Danio rerio: one gene and its partners. The protein of the gene in region 4 purifies or fractionates together with the protein of the main gene of each other region. This does not show direct contact. Links are inferred from orthologs where the notes say so. Each region holds a gene or a part of one and is shown on either strand. Other genes may lie near its edges.

Evidence for each region.
Region 1: the proteins of ftsj3 (region 4) and nifk fractionate together in Homo sapiens (co-fractionation; 3 studies listed by BioGRID, with this or other methods). This does not show direct contact. The link is inferred for Danio rerio from reciprocal best matches to the Homo sapiens genes FTSJ3 and NIFK.
Region 2: the proteins of ftsj3 (region 4) and nop2 fractionate together in Homo sapiens (co-fractionation; 3 studies listed by BioGRID and IntAct, with this or other methods). This does not show direct contact. The link is inferred for Danio rerio from reciprocal best matches to the Homo sapiens genes FTSJ3 and NOP2.
Region 3: the proteins of ftsj3 (region 4) and rrs1 purify together in Homo sapiens (affinity purification with mass spectrometry; 3 studies listed by BioGRID and IntAct, counting the BioPlex papers as one, with this or other methods). This does not show direct contact. The link is inferred for Danio rerio from reciprocal best matches to the Homo sapiens genes FTSJ3 and RRS1.

Annotation. Positions count from the first base shown.
Region 1 is NC_133184.1:39,870,093-39,874,174, reverse strand, and holds the start of nifk (MKI67 FHA domain-interacting nucleolar phosphoprotein), read right to left. Parts: upstream 2,821-4,082; 5' UTR 2,714-2,820; coding exon 2,600-2,713; intron 2,348-2,599; coding exon 2,219-2,347; intron 960-2,218; exon of another isoform or gene 833-959; intron 753-832; coding exon 644-752; intron 551-643; coding exon 339-550; intron 258-338; coding exon 198-257; intron 143-197; exon of another isoform or gene 16-142; intron 1-15.
Region 2 is NC_133191.1:17,311,422-17,314,423, forward strand, and holds the end of nop2 (28S rRNA (cytosine(4447)-C(5))-methyltransferase), read right to left. Parts: intron 2,832-3,002; coding exon 2,734-2,831; intron 2,609-2,733; coding exon 2,472-2,608; intron 2,395-2,471; coding exon 1,964-2,394; 3' UTR 542-1,963; downstream 1-541. UniProt on the Homo sapiens protein: S-adenosyl-L-methionine-dependent methyltransferase that specifically methylates the C(5) position of cytosine 4447 in 28S rRNA. Required for efficient rRNA processing and 60S ribosomal subunit biogenesis.
Region 3 is NC_133199.1:27,758,300-27,761,389, forward strand, and holds rrs1 (ribosome biogenesis regulatory protein homolog), read right to left. Parts: upstream 1,866-3,090; 5' UTR 1,857-1,865; coding exon 816-1,856; 3' UTR 538-815; downstream 1-537. UniProt on the Homo sapiens protein: Involved in ribosomal large subunit assembly. May regulate the localization of the 5S RNP/5S ribonucleoprotein particle to the nucleolus.
Region 4 is NC_133197.1:3,328,772-3,332,343, forward strand, and holds part of ftsj3 (pre-rRNA 2'-O-ribose RNA methyltransferase FTSJ3), read left to right. Parts: intron 1-3,133; coding exon 3,134-3,236; intron 3,237-3,317; coding exon 3,318-3,501; intron 3,502-3,572.

The DNA of each region.
Region 1 (4,082 bases), on a different chromosome or scaffold from region 4:
AGAGTACACTACAGTAACTGTTGGCACATGGGTTTCATTGCGTGTCAAAGTGACAGACAATAAGCTTAAAATGTACCATTTTCTGTCGGCACAGTTATCTTACTCCAGTTGATGGTTACAACTGAAATAATTTTCAGTATATGCCAAGATACAGAAGTGGTAAAAAAATTAAGCTGAATTAAAATGATTAGACTAACCTCACTGCACACTGAAACATTTGCTTCTGATGGAGCCTTTTTAGCTGGAATCTGTGCTGCCTGCAAACAAAAAAACATGATCAAATTAATGATAACATCTTAAAAGTCCCAACTAAAACATACTCTGACTGTAGTACTTACAAATCCTGGGAAATCATAGTCAATGCCTTTTGCTGCCAGTCTCTTGCGCAGCTTAGACTCTTTGCTTAAAAGCTTTGTGCCAACTTTCTTCACATCATCTTCTGTGTGTGTTTTGTTATACCGAGTCACTGCAGGATACTTTGGCTTCTTGAAGCCAGCAATAGAGCCGACAAAGAGCTTTTCATGAACCTTCTCAGGTGGAATAACGTGACCTGAAAAGTACAATACACAGCATTACTCATAAAAAAACATCACACACAGACAAAAAAAATAATGATTAATAATCTTGTATGCTCTCATCTCACATTTTATAATGCGTTCTCCCATAAGGTAGTTGTTCATGGTTTCAGCCACAATCTTAGCCACTTCATCACACTCAAACTCCACAAATCCATAGCCTTTGCTCCCACCAGTCTGTGAAAGATGACAGTTCAATCATTTATGAGGTAAAACCTCCAGCAAAGCATTATCACCCAATATGACTATTGTGATATTAATGTAGGCACATGGGTTTCATTGCACAACTACATGAAGTTGGCAATAAGCTAAATGTACCGAATTAATGTTGGCACAATAATCTTACCCATCGCAACAAAATGCCAAAGGTAATTTTCAGATTGTGCCTTTTAAACATGTTGTTATATAGAGAAATTAAAAACGAGAAAAAAAAGAAAGAAAAAAAAAACACAAGATCCTGATAGAATGTTTACAGCTACATAAAGAAAAAAGCACACTTCTCTACTATAAAGTTAATGAGAAATGGTTAGAGTATACAATTCAGATGCAGCCGATGATTATCTGAAAGCAACCCGCTGGGAATCAAATAAGATTTCTCTAAAAATCCTCTTAGAATCAAATTGGGCCTCATTGGATTAAACGTATTTATCCAAGAGGATCTTATGCGTTTCTTTATAGGATTCCTTGTAGAATTCTTATTGGTTTGTTTGGAAATTACAGGGCTTTTGCTGATTTTATTTGTAAAACAAAAGTAAAGAAAGCTTAATTCCCTGTGAAATTGGCCAAATGTTATTTAATTTATTATTAAACGAAATATCTGCCAATAAACCCTACGTAAATGAAAAGTTTAATCTAAATTCTGTCATTTACCTCACACTTCTTCCACCTTTCTTCATATTTAACATCAGGTCATTGCAAACCAATGTAACAAAATGCTTAAAACCTTACTCCTGCAAACTCAATCATAAGACTTTATCAAAAGACATTTTACAGATTGTTGAAAACCCAGCCACCACTGGCATCTATAGTAGATGGAGGAAAAGTTGGTTTTATATTTGCACATTTGTTCATTTAGCAGTCTCTATATTGTTTACCACGCTATGTTGAATATCGAGTCTGAACTAGCATGTTTGATTTCAAAACAACATCAACACTATCTAATTCGCTGTGAACAATGCTGTACTTTGTTAGTCATTTGCTGCTAATATGATTTTCCTATTTAAAATTTGCAAAGAATACTTTTCTAAAATTATATTAAGGAGAATGTCTGAATATTCTAATACAAAACCAACTTTACCTCCATCTATAGCAGGAACAACATACTATGGGATTCCATGCTAAGTTCCCAACATTCTTCAAATTGTTTCCTTTTGTGTTCAACAGAGGAGAAAGTAGTGAAAGAGTAATTGATGCAGAATTTTTTGGTGAACTATCCCTTTAAAAAATGTTTAGATATACTAGTACTGGCAAACACAAAATAAAACAATTTATCTAATAAATAAAGCAAGATTTTAACATTTTAACATGTATTAGATTCAGAAAGTCCGCGTTAGAACGTCTTGACCATTTGTATTGAGCAATTTACTTTATATTTAACGTCATGTCATTATAAACTAAGGTAATAAATCAAATGCACGTCATACCTTTTTACTCCTGGAAACTCTCAATCGTAAGACTTTGCCAAACTGCTCAAAGTAAGATTTCAACTGAGGCTCAAACAGTCCTCGAGGAAGATGACCAACATACAGCACTCCTGGACTAAGTGTTTGACCCTGAAAGAGGACCAAAACAAATTATGAAGCGCATTCAATGCAAAACAAAATATTGAATGTAACATGTGCACCGTAAACCAAATAGTAACATTACATTAGCACCGTCAAGTGTAAACAAGACTCATCTTACCGAACTTAACTCTAGCTACAGCATATTAGTGATTAAAAGAAACATTTTGTTCCAACCACGTTTTAAATGTGAATCTGAAGCACTGTCAGGCTAAACTAAGGCCACATGGCCACGCATCATACCGTTTGAGGACGCTTCTTCACTTGCTGCACTTTCTTCTGAAATTCTGCGTCCTCTTTCGGATTCAGAGCCAGCAGTCTTTTCGCCGGCTTGTCTGATGATTTGCCTTCTGTCATATTGAAATCTAACAGTGGTCAAATAAATAAAGCTAAACGTTTTGAACCTACTGTCGTATGGCTTCTCCTAAAACCACGTTGTGCCTCGTTCAGGAAACTGCTAATGCAAGCGACAATTCAAAATAAAAGCCTGCAAAAGCTACAAAATAAAAGTCAACTAAACTCACGGCGTTGACAGTTGTGCTATGTTATGTAATATGTTTTAATAAACGTCTGAGTTTCCTTAAGTTTCTTTAATACTTAATAAATACTGAGTGTGCGTCGTTTGTTTATTATTTTTCTTAATATTTTACTTGTTATAAATTACCTATCTACCCAACGGAGTTGACTAAGGTTGTGCTGTACTATTTATTGTGTTTTAATAAATATTTACATGCTTTTAAATTTCTTTAATACTAGATAAGCAAACAAACAAATCAATAGTGGGTTTGCGTTGTTTGCTTATTAATTATCAAAATATTTTACGTGTTATAAATTACTTATCAACAGCGTTGACTAAGGTTGTGCTTTGCTATTTTTATGTTTTATTAAATATTTACACTGTATAACTTTCTTAAATACTAAAGAAATAAATAAACAAACAAACAAATAAATAGTGAATTTACGTAGTTTGCTTATTGACTAAGGTTTTGCTATGCTATTTATTATGTTTTAATAAATATTTACACTGGATTAAATTTGTTAAATACTAAATAAACAAATAAATAAGGCGGTTAATTCTGTTGTGGCGATCCCAGATTAATAAAGGGACTAAGCCAAAAATTAATGAATGAATAAACAAACAAACAAACAACAAATAAATAGTGGGGTTACGTTGTTTGCTTATTAATTATCTTAATATTTTACTTGTTATAATTTATCTACTCAACGGCATTGACTAAGGTTGTGCTATGCTATTTATTATGTTTTATTAAATATTTACACTGTATTACATTTATTAAATACTAAACAAACAAACAAACAAACAAACAAATAAATAGTGGGTTTACAGTTAGCTTATTAATTATCTTAATATTTTACTTGTTATAAATTACTTATCTACCCAACAGAGTTGACTAAGGCTGTGCTGTACTATTTATTATGTTTTAATAAATATTTACATGCTCTTAAATTTCTTAAATTCTAGATAAACACACAAACAAACAAACAAACAAACAAATCAATAGTGGGTTTGCGTTGTTTGCTTATTAATTATCTTAACATTTTACTTGTAATAAATAACTTATCTACCCAACGGCATTGACCAAGGTTGTGCTGTGCCATTTTATTATGTTTTAATAAATATTTACATCTTCTTAAATGTCCTAAATACTAAATAAATAGGGAGTTCGCTTTGTTTGCATATTAATTATCTTAATATTGCTAATAA
Region 2 (3,002 bases), on a different chromosome or scaffold from region 4:
CCACTACACTAATTATCTTGTTTAATCCTGCCCTTTTTCACAGCACCATACTACAGAATTTCGCAAGCTCAAACTCCAGTATGACAGCAGCATTACTTTACTGCCATTCAAATGGCCCAATAGGCTTATGACATAGTATTGTTCATTGCAGGAGTAATTAAAAATCTATGTGGAAGTAATACCTTATCCAATAAAACTTGTCGCAAACTCCACTTCTGGAGGGCTGCAGCTCTGCAGTTTTGGTCCAACCCTAATCAAACACAGCTGATCCAACTAATCTAGAGACTTTTAAGCAGGTGTGAGTTGGAGGTGGCTAAAGCTAAACCGCGCAGAGCTATGGTCCTCCAGGAATTGAGTTTGAGACAATCAAGTGATGATCTATTTTTGTAAAACTATCTTAACTAGCATCCATGGTGAATACCCAGCAAGACATCCATTGACAGACAAACAGCTCTGCTTGTTAATCGTAATAATCTAAACTTATTTTAAAGCCTCAACAACTACAGGTAGATTTAAATCACTTCACAAACTTTCTGATAAATTTTTTAGTCTTAAAATTTTTTTTAATTGAACTTAAACCCATGCAGAGATTTGAAACAGGAGATGCTAAATTTCTAAATGGTTTCTGCGTTTTGCTTTACATAAGAACACACCTTTCCTTAATTAGCTTTAATTTCTAACAAATTTTTAGCCCAGTTTAAACTAGACACTCTTGAGTTCCACTGATTATGGCTTTGTTCAAATAACTAGTACAAAATGCGTTACTTGGCAAGCACCATTAAATAAATTAAATAACTTTAGCATAGATTAGTTAAATGCTAGAAACAAAAACTAATCAGTACAGTACAAAACAGAAGAGGTAGTTCTTGTTAAACACAGACTGGACACTCCATCCCTGCAATCATATGTGCAGGTGAATGATAATTACCCTTCTACAATACCACTTAATCAACTGGGTGCCAAACTACTCTGATCTAATGCGTTTTACCCACAGGCCTGCTCAATGGCTTCATTTACCCTTCAGGCACAACCTTAAATTATCTCCTTGCATGTAATCACTGCAGTGTGATTAAAATAAACGCTTTGCCTACACATGCACTACATTTCAACAGATTTAACAGCTTTGGGAGGAACAAGCAGCGATAATTATGGCGTTTTGGGCCATCTTTTGTGGAGACAGAAGGATTCCATACAAAGCACAGAGAAAGTATCACAGTTCAGAGGGTATGAGCTCAGGGCTTCGCCGCACACAATACGATATGCGGGTTACTATGGTTACGTGGGCATCTGGCCAAAAGGGTAGGAAGAAAGATAGCATATAGCTGAAGTTCATCCACAGAGCGTTTTAGCCATTTGAACCTGAAGAAAACTTTTTGCACACTGACAAATGTTCTGCAGCAGGAGCCAAATGATGTGAAAAGAGAAGTCAAAAGGTTTTGCTGAACAGCACTCATGATGCACTCGGTCTGAAAGAAAAATTTCACTTCTACCTCAATAGTTTGTGATCCGACTTCTGAGGTGATGTCCTCAAAGGCAGAAAATAAGAGTCAGATTAAAAAGGCAGAAAACTATTTCAGTCTCTCAGAGGAAGCCAATAAACTATATATTTTTTACTTTTTTTTTTTTAATAAGTGTGATGAAAAAAACTGGCATATCACATTCTTTGCAGCATTTCTGTTAAATGTTTCTTTGTTTACGAAATAAAAGCAGACAATGACATTTACATTTATGACATTTATATCACAAGAAGGTTGAAGTAACCTTCTTGGTGAATCAGTAAGGTTGACAGTCTTGAAAAGCAGTATAAATACACAAATTCACTGTGTAAGTTACTAAAGAATGATCTTTGAGTCCCCAACAGCAAGCTGGGACTGGTTTAACTTACTGTCTTGGGTCAAACCACTGACAGATCCCAGTCCTGAGCATATAGGTCCATGTCAATTTACTGTCAGATGACTAAAGTTCACTGGCCACTTTCTTGCTGTCCAAGCATACTTTTTAACTTCTTAAATTTGTTTTTCCCGATTCTGTTCTTCTTTTTCTTCAGCAGGTTCTTCTTTTTGGTTTTGTTTTCTTTCTTCTTGAATGGACTGCCCTCTTTCTTCTCCTTTATCCCCTCTGTTGTTGGATTGCCATTCATTTGCTTTCCCTTCTGTTTTTTGCTAGGTTTCTCAAACTTTTTTGCAGCTTCACTATCCAGCTTGGCAATTTTGGCTTTTTTGGGGCCAGTTTTTTTATTCTCAGCTTTCTTTTTAACGATGAGTGGCTTGGATGTTTGAGGATTCAATTTCTGTTTCTTTTCAAAGCTGCTTTTTTCTGGAGTTGAAGCAGGCTTCTGTTCTTTCATCTCTGATAAAGCTGCAGTCTCCATTACAAGTGATTCTTCTTGATTTTCTAAGGAATATGTTTGAAAAATTGAAGTAAAATACAATACAAATTTGTGGATAAAATCTTTTGAAATAAGCACACACCTGTTTCTTTTGGAGCAGTAGGGATGGTGTTAGACAGCTTCTTTAGCTTGGCCACAAAAAACCCATCCATGTTGTGAGAGTGGGGGTAGAATCGTCGAGACAGTTTAAGAGAAGGATGGAAACGTTTCTCTTTGAATCTACAGAGAAGAGATCAAGATTTTCAAAATGCACTTTATAATTTCTCTGGCAAACACACTTGAACTTAATTTCTAGGACTATAACCTTTATTACTGTTGATGAATTTCAAATAAGATCTCATTACCTGGTAAATCCCTCTTTGCCAAAGTCCAATCCAGTGGGGACAAGCTTAACATTTCTCTTCTTCAGAGCATAATCTACCACCCACTCATTCTCTTCCACCTATAGAGACAAATCAAATCTCATACCAAATGGACAGAAAATTGGCATATTTCAGCAGACATACTTTAGCTTTTAAAATATAGATTAATACATTTTACATCTACCTGTTTCACTTTTCCTCTAAAATGTTGCAATATCTGCTTTAGTCCACAATCAGACAGAAACTTAAAA
Region 3 (3,090 bases), on a different chromosome or scaffold from region 4:
TGGATGCCCTTCCAGCTGCAACCCATCTCTGGGAAAGCTTTAAGTTATTATTTTATACATATTTGTCACATCACAGATCAGAATAACAGTAGGTTTCATTTTCACATAACACTAAATGACAATACAGCGTTTTTAACTCATATTTTTAATTTCACAAAAGTTATTTAAATCACTAAACAATTTAATTAGATTTAATTTGATTGCTGTAATTAAAAATCACATTTGTGAACTTAGGTAGACACTGAAATGGGATGTCTCCTCTATTTGATGGTATAAGATAAATCTAATCATATTCTTTTCATTAAAATTGCTCAAATACTTTATTAATTGAATCTTAGCTTCAATTTTTTAAGGTGATATTTTAGCTTTATAATTCTAAAATACACATTTGATGATATTTTATATTACATTATAAGAACATACTATTTAAGTACAAATGTTACCCATTAACAGCAGGCTTTGACACATTTATACTCATTTTTAAATAACTTTGGGGATGAAATATAACCTCATTATTCACAATATCCAACCAGGAACTGATGGCAAATCAGAAAGAATTTTAATTTAATGTGAAAACACAATTACGAATGAATAACAGGAGTCAATATTAGATGACATTTATGAAAACGGTTCAATGATCTTAATCCATGACATATGTAGATAAAGCCTAAACACATAAACAAACCCGATTCCTGTACTGAATCAAACTCCAGCCGCAAGGCACTCAAAGTCATGACTTAAGAGAAGTTGAGTCGTGTGCAATATTTATTATATTCTACAATAAACATCATAAGTCCACCACACTGCTTTAAATGTTAGCGCTTTCCTTGCTTCATCTGAGGTTTGCGCCCTTTGCCTTTAGGAGCTTTTCCCTTTCCTCCAGGTTTTCCTTTGCCTTTTCCTTTACCAGGCATGCCTCCCTTGCGTCCCTTCTTTCCAAACCCTTTCTTATTATTCCGAGCAGACTCCGAGTCCTCTTCCCTCATCTGCTTATTCACAGCTTTAGTGATATCGAGACGGGGCTTCTTACTGTCCATCACCTTCAATAAATCCAGCTGTTTTTGCTTCTCGCTACTGAAGTCCCCAATAAGAGGCTGGAATTTCCTCTTCTTCCCAGTGTTTCTGGCTGGTTTTTCCTTGGGCAGCTTCTCCTGGAATTTGCCAACCGATGCGGTGGATATTTTGGCCAGACTGACCGCTTGTGCCAGCTCCGCTTTGGTCTGCTGGGATGTAGGCAGGAGTCCTGTTCCAGGAACCTTGACCTTCTGAGCTCTGGCGATGTTTTTGAGTCTGTTGTACTCGTTTCTGGCCACTCTTTCCTTTTTGGCTTTATTCCTTTTGGCGAACTGGTCTTCGTTTGGATCTGCAGTCGCCGGGACCTCAATCAACCACTCTTTGGTGTCATCTTTGGCACGTTTATACCCCCATCTCCTCTTCCACTCCTTGTGAACTTCATCCCAGACCAAGTTGGTCTTCTTTTTCTTCTGAATGCCTTTCAGCTTGGCAAACTGTTCCCATTTAGTAGGAGGCTTAGGTTTCGGTGCTGGTTTTTCTCTGGGTAGTTTAGTGGTCGGTTCTGGCAGCTTGGCGACGATCACTTCGTCGACTCTCTCTGTGGGTAGTTTCCATATCTCGTTGATGAGAAGTTGTGTGTTGTCTCGCGCTAAAGAGCGAAGACAGTCCTCCCGTTTGTTGCCTTTAAAGTCCCGTGTGTCAAGTCGGTTCTTGTCAAACGCCAGCAAAAGTCCCGGGTCGAATTCAAGATCCAACTCTTTGAGCACCGTAATACTTTTGAGCTTCTCAGCCTCGTCTCTTTCAGCTTTAGCGAGCACGTCTTCAATACTGCACGAAGCCATTTTGGTTCTACTGACAGACAACGTGGGTTCCCACATGTGCCGCTAAAAGCGGAAGTCTGGTATTTCAAAATAAAAGAACTAAAAACTAACTTAAAAAATAAAATAAACATTTCAAATGAGTTAAAGAAATATAACAATCTTTAAACATGTTTTAGCTAGTAAAACGTTTATCCTAAGTGTATATGTTTATGATACTAACTAACTTACTTCGGACGAAAGTTGTTCGGTCGAATGCAGGAGTAGCGATAAACCGACAGGACGTCCCATCGGCTCTGTGGCGCAATGGATAGCGCATTGGACTTCTAGATTGTTGAATGGGGTCATTCAAAGGTTGTGGGTTCGAGTCCCACCAGAGTCGACATTTTTGTGATCAGAATCAATAAAGTGGCCACATGCCAGAAGTTACCTGAAGTGCTCGAAGACATGATTCAAACGAACCTGACTCAGTGATTCAGTTTGTGGATGCGTGAATCTTATAGCCGAACCGAACCGGTGGGTTAAGCATACGGAGCAAATGGTTCGTTTTGATAAAATATTAAATTTATTTAGATATATATCGGTTCTGTGGATGTGTAACCTGGGACAAATGATTGGTTTCTAAATGCCAGTAAAACCTATAAGTGAAACCCATAGTTGTGGTAGAAATATTGATTTATTTATTTTGTTGCAGTTATACACACGCACGGTTGTATTTGTTTTATCATCGACCACTACAAATATCTAAAAATAATTAATTATCCTTAATAATACTTAAATTGTGTTTTTGGTATGATTTTAAAACTGATTTTTTGGATCTGTTTGGATTATATTATTACTGAACAAGTGATACTGAACTGATAATATGATTTCTGAACTGATGCCAATGTTATTCTTGAAAATTCTAACAGAAAAAATCTGGAAATTGCCTCTGCATACAGTATGCAAACAAAAACAAACTTGTTATTATTATTATTATTATAATTATTATTATTATTATTATTATTATTAGTAGTAGTAGTAGTAGTAGTAGTAGTAGTAGTAGTAGTAGTATTTGCATTACTGTTCAGTTACGCAAACAAAATGATCTTTAATTGTAAAATAACAAAAAACTCAAGTCTCCGATATAAAAAAATGAATGTGCTAAAAAATACACTGAATAAAGTCTGTCTACAACAGTTCGAATCAACTTGTTCAGATTGGTCGGCTGGTGAGAACGTCATATCCGCTGCTCGAGTTTCCCCGGGAAGACACTTTG
Region 4 (3,572 bases):
GGAGATAATGTCATTGAGATATCCGAGAAAGCCAGACAAAAACGGACTGCACTATGCTTTATAGGGGTATATTCACCACATAATAGGCAACCGGTTAGAGAATAATTCAATCAAAATTGAAGCTAGCTTAGCCTAGCTGCCTCATGTTCCAACCATTCAACAGCTTAGCTCATGCTCCGCAGGAGAGGTGAAGCTTAAAAATAATCTAATAATAACTAATTAAACCTTGATTTCTCTGTATTTAGCCAAAAAGCCTGATAGATTAATTGTTGTGTAATGAAATATAGCGTTACTGACGAGGAAACGCGCATGGACAGTGCTTTTACATAGTTCATTCACAGAAAGAGCAGCCAGAAAGGGGAAACTGATGGATTTGTGCCGAATATTAGCATCATTGACCCATAAAAATCTACAGTAGGATAAATGACTGAAAAACAGGCTGCGGGTGATGTATATTGATCGCAGGTGCTCAGTTTGTGATCATATCTGGCTTTTGTTCTGTTGATTTGAAGCTTGAAATAGATGGAAATATGAAGTTCAGTAAAGTTAGCAACAGATTCGTATTTTCTGGATCAATAACTCATGTCATCTTGACCTATTCACTATTAATATGACGAAGTTACTAATGTTATGGCGAAGGCTTAAACGGAGCATTACTCACAATATCGAGCGGGGGGAAAAAAAAAGGAATAAGACAGCTGGGGAACATGACCTCTTAGGGTGAGAGGTGTGTGAGTTATTGCTGTCAGTCTATCACTGAATGTGCGAGGAATATCAAAAACAAAACCAATTTAGCTCTGCTCCTTTAGCGCCCTTTACACGGCTTGATCCACGCTGGCATTTCTCCTCTTGGGTTTTCGGTTTTGAAAAGGGAAAAAATCCCACCATCCCGTCCAAACTTTAAGGAGACCGGGTATCAGATTTGCACAATCCTTATGCACTCGCTCGAAAGCTTGACAGAGCCCCAGCGCGTAGCTACAGTTGCTAAGCCACGATTGGTGGGTGGCGGTTTTTGGGTGTGGCTTAGCTTAGGGTCAATTGGCCCTATTTGAAATTCAATAACAAAAATATCAGTATTCACACTGGTGTATAAGGGGAAAAATATTATAGGCTATTACAATTTACTACTTGTATGTTATTTGTTATGCTCTATTAAATAGTGTGAGGATTGCTGTAAGGCGAATCAGTGAGTCTTTTTTTTGTGGAGAACGGATTACAAATGTTTTTGGTCAGCTAGGGCTGTGGTCCTCAACCTGTTTATCACCGCAGAGCGGTCAACGCTTGACAATTTTACCGTAGGTTGCTAGGCGACCATTACCCGTTTTCTCAGAGGATGATAAGCTGAAAAAACGTTGCTGTCGCTCTGATACAAGTTTTATTTCTGGAGAAAAGTAGAAAGCACTGTAGTGTTGGTGTGTTCTGTGTTTGTCTGGGAAAATGTGATTATTCCGAAATGTGAATATTCCATACAAGTTGAAGCTAATCAATCAATTCTTGTTACGTGACTCGCGGTGCGCTCACGGCCCGGGGTTCATTGGTGCGGAGTGTCACACCGCTTGTGCGCACCTCCATTGGAAACAACAAACTTGTGCAGACTCTAGAACAGGTGTGGGCAAACTTGATCCTGGAGGGCCGGTGTCCTGCATAGTTTAGCTCCAACCCTATTCAAACAAACCTCCATATAGAGTTCAAGTGATCTTGAAGACATTGATTAGTTTGTTCAGGTGTGTTTGAATAGTGTTGGAACAAAACTCTGGAGGGACACCGGCCCTCGAGGATCAAGTTTGCCCATCCCTGCCCTAGAAATACGCGATATGTGAATGGCCCCTAAAAGGCCGCTGTCATTTGTGATCTCCATCAGTTGATCTTCTTGCACAACCATGCTGGATTCACTTGATTTGTTGACAAATGGGTTGCGAATTTATTCCTTGGCAGTTCCTTCACTTGGCTTTTTCCCCTTGGCAAATAAACTTTCCAAAGACGTCTGTTTCTTACTCATTTTGCTGCTTTTGGGTTAAATTTGGGTGCTGAAGTTTCCGAGACGTAAGCCAGAGAATACAGTAATTTTTTTTAAAATAAAGGCTTTTCAAATAAAAGATCGTTCAGACTCGGATAATAAATTAAACAAAAATAATTCATAATTTTTTGTGCGACTCTGTACCAATTAATCCAACGACCAGTGGTTGAGGACTACTGAGCTTGGTGATAAAATGAACTAAGGCAACATGATCATTCTTCGAATTGTCCACTGCCAAGAAATTTTTTAAATATGACGCGACCCCCCCCCAAAGCTCGCTGAGGCCCCCTTGTGGGCCGGGACCACCCTGTTGGGAACCGCTGCTCTAAAGCATGAAACTGGTGGAAATGCGTCAAAATAAAGACTTAAATATAATAGCGACAGGCTAACGAAATTTATGCTACAACAGTAATGCATTACCAAAAATATAATGACTGTTCTGTTCAAATATTCAACATGAACTGTACACGGCCTTTAGCAGTGGCAGAATACTTAGGAATTAAGCCTGGTTTATACTTCTGCTTTAAGTGTCCGGCGTAACCCACGGCGCATGCAACGCGCGTAGCTGTGCATTTATACTTCTGCGCGCTGTCTCTGTTGGTCTGCATTAACACTTCCGAAGCGCTAGCTGGCAGTGATGTGTAAATGTTCCTCTGTGTCGAGTTTCTTCGCTGCTGTTTTGTTTTCCTGAACACTTCCTGAATGTACAAGTGGCTCAAACTCGCTCATTCTGAGGCAGGAACCGGCGGACGTGCAGCAACTTTAACTATGAGGTAAACACAAAACTTTCCATCCGGAGCTCCAACACGGGACTCCACACTTGTAAACAATCGCTCCATCAGGCTTGCGGCATTCGTGCGGCTCTCGGTCCCGCCCAGACTCGTCAGCGCTACCAAGCCGACCAATCGCAGCGCTTGCGCTACACGTCATTGCAATGTGTAGTTACATTCTTTGAGAGGTGCACGTCAGCGACGGCCACGGCGTAGGACTATGCGTCAACGCAGTAGCATACGCATGCGTTTGACGCAGAAGTATAAATCAGCCTTAAGAAAATTAGCATGCTCTCTTAGCATTTGATCTGAACGCTGCACTATTGTGTTGTTTTTCTATCCTCAGATAAGCGCGCTCGTGTTCTGGATGCTGAAGGTTTGGCTCTCGGTGCTCAGATCGCCACGTCCAAAAAAAGAGAGCGAGACCTGATTGACGGCTCCTTCCACAGGTCAGATGGGCCTGTTAGCATGTTAGCCGCCAGCTAATGCTGGTGAGCTTCAGAGAAATAACGTTTATGTTTCTACTGTAGGTTTGCCAACTCTGAGGACATGACCGAGGTTCCGGCCTGGTTTGTGGACGATGAGAAGAAGCACCGAAAACGGCCGGTTCCTGTGACCAAAGACATGGTGGAGGAATACAAGCAGAAGTGGAAAGAAATCAACGCTCGGCCAATCAGACGCGTGGCGGAGGCTAAAGCCCGCAAGAAGAGACGGGTCAGAAAATACACAAAAATACACTACATATACAGCACACTCTAAAAATACATTGTTATGCGTGTATTCAG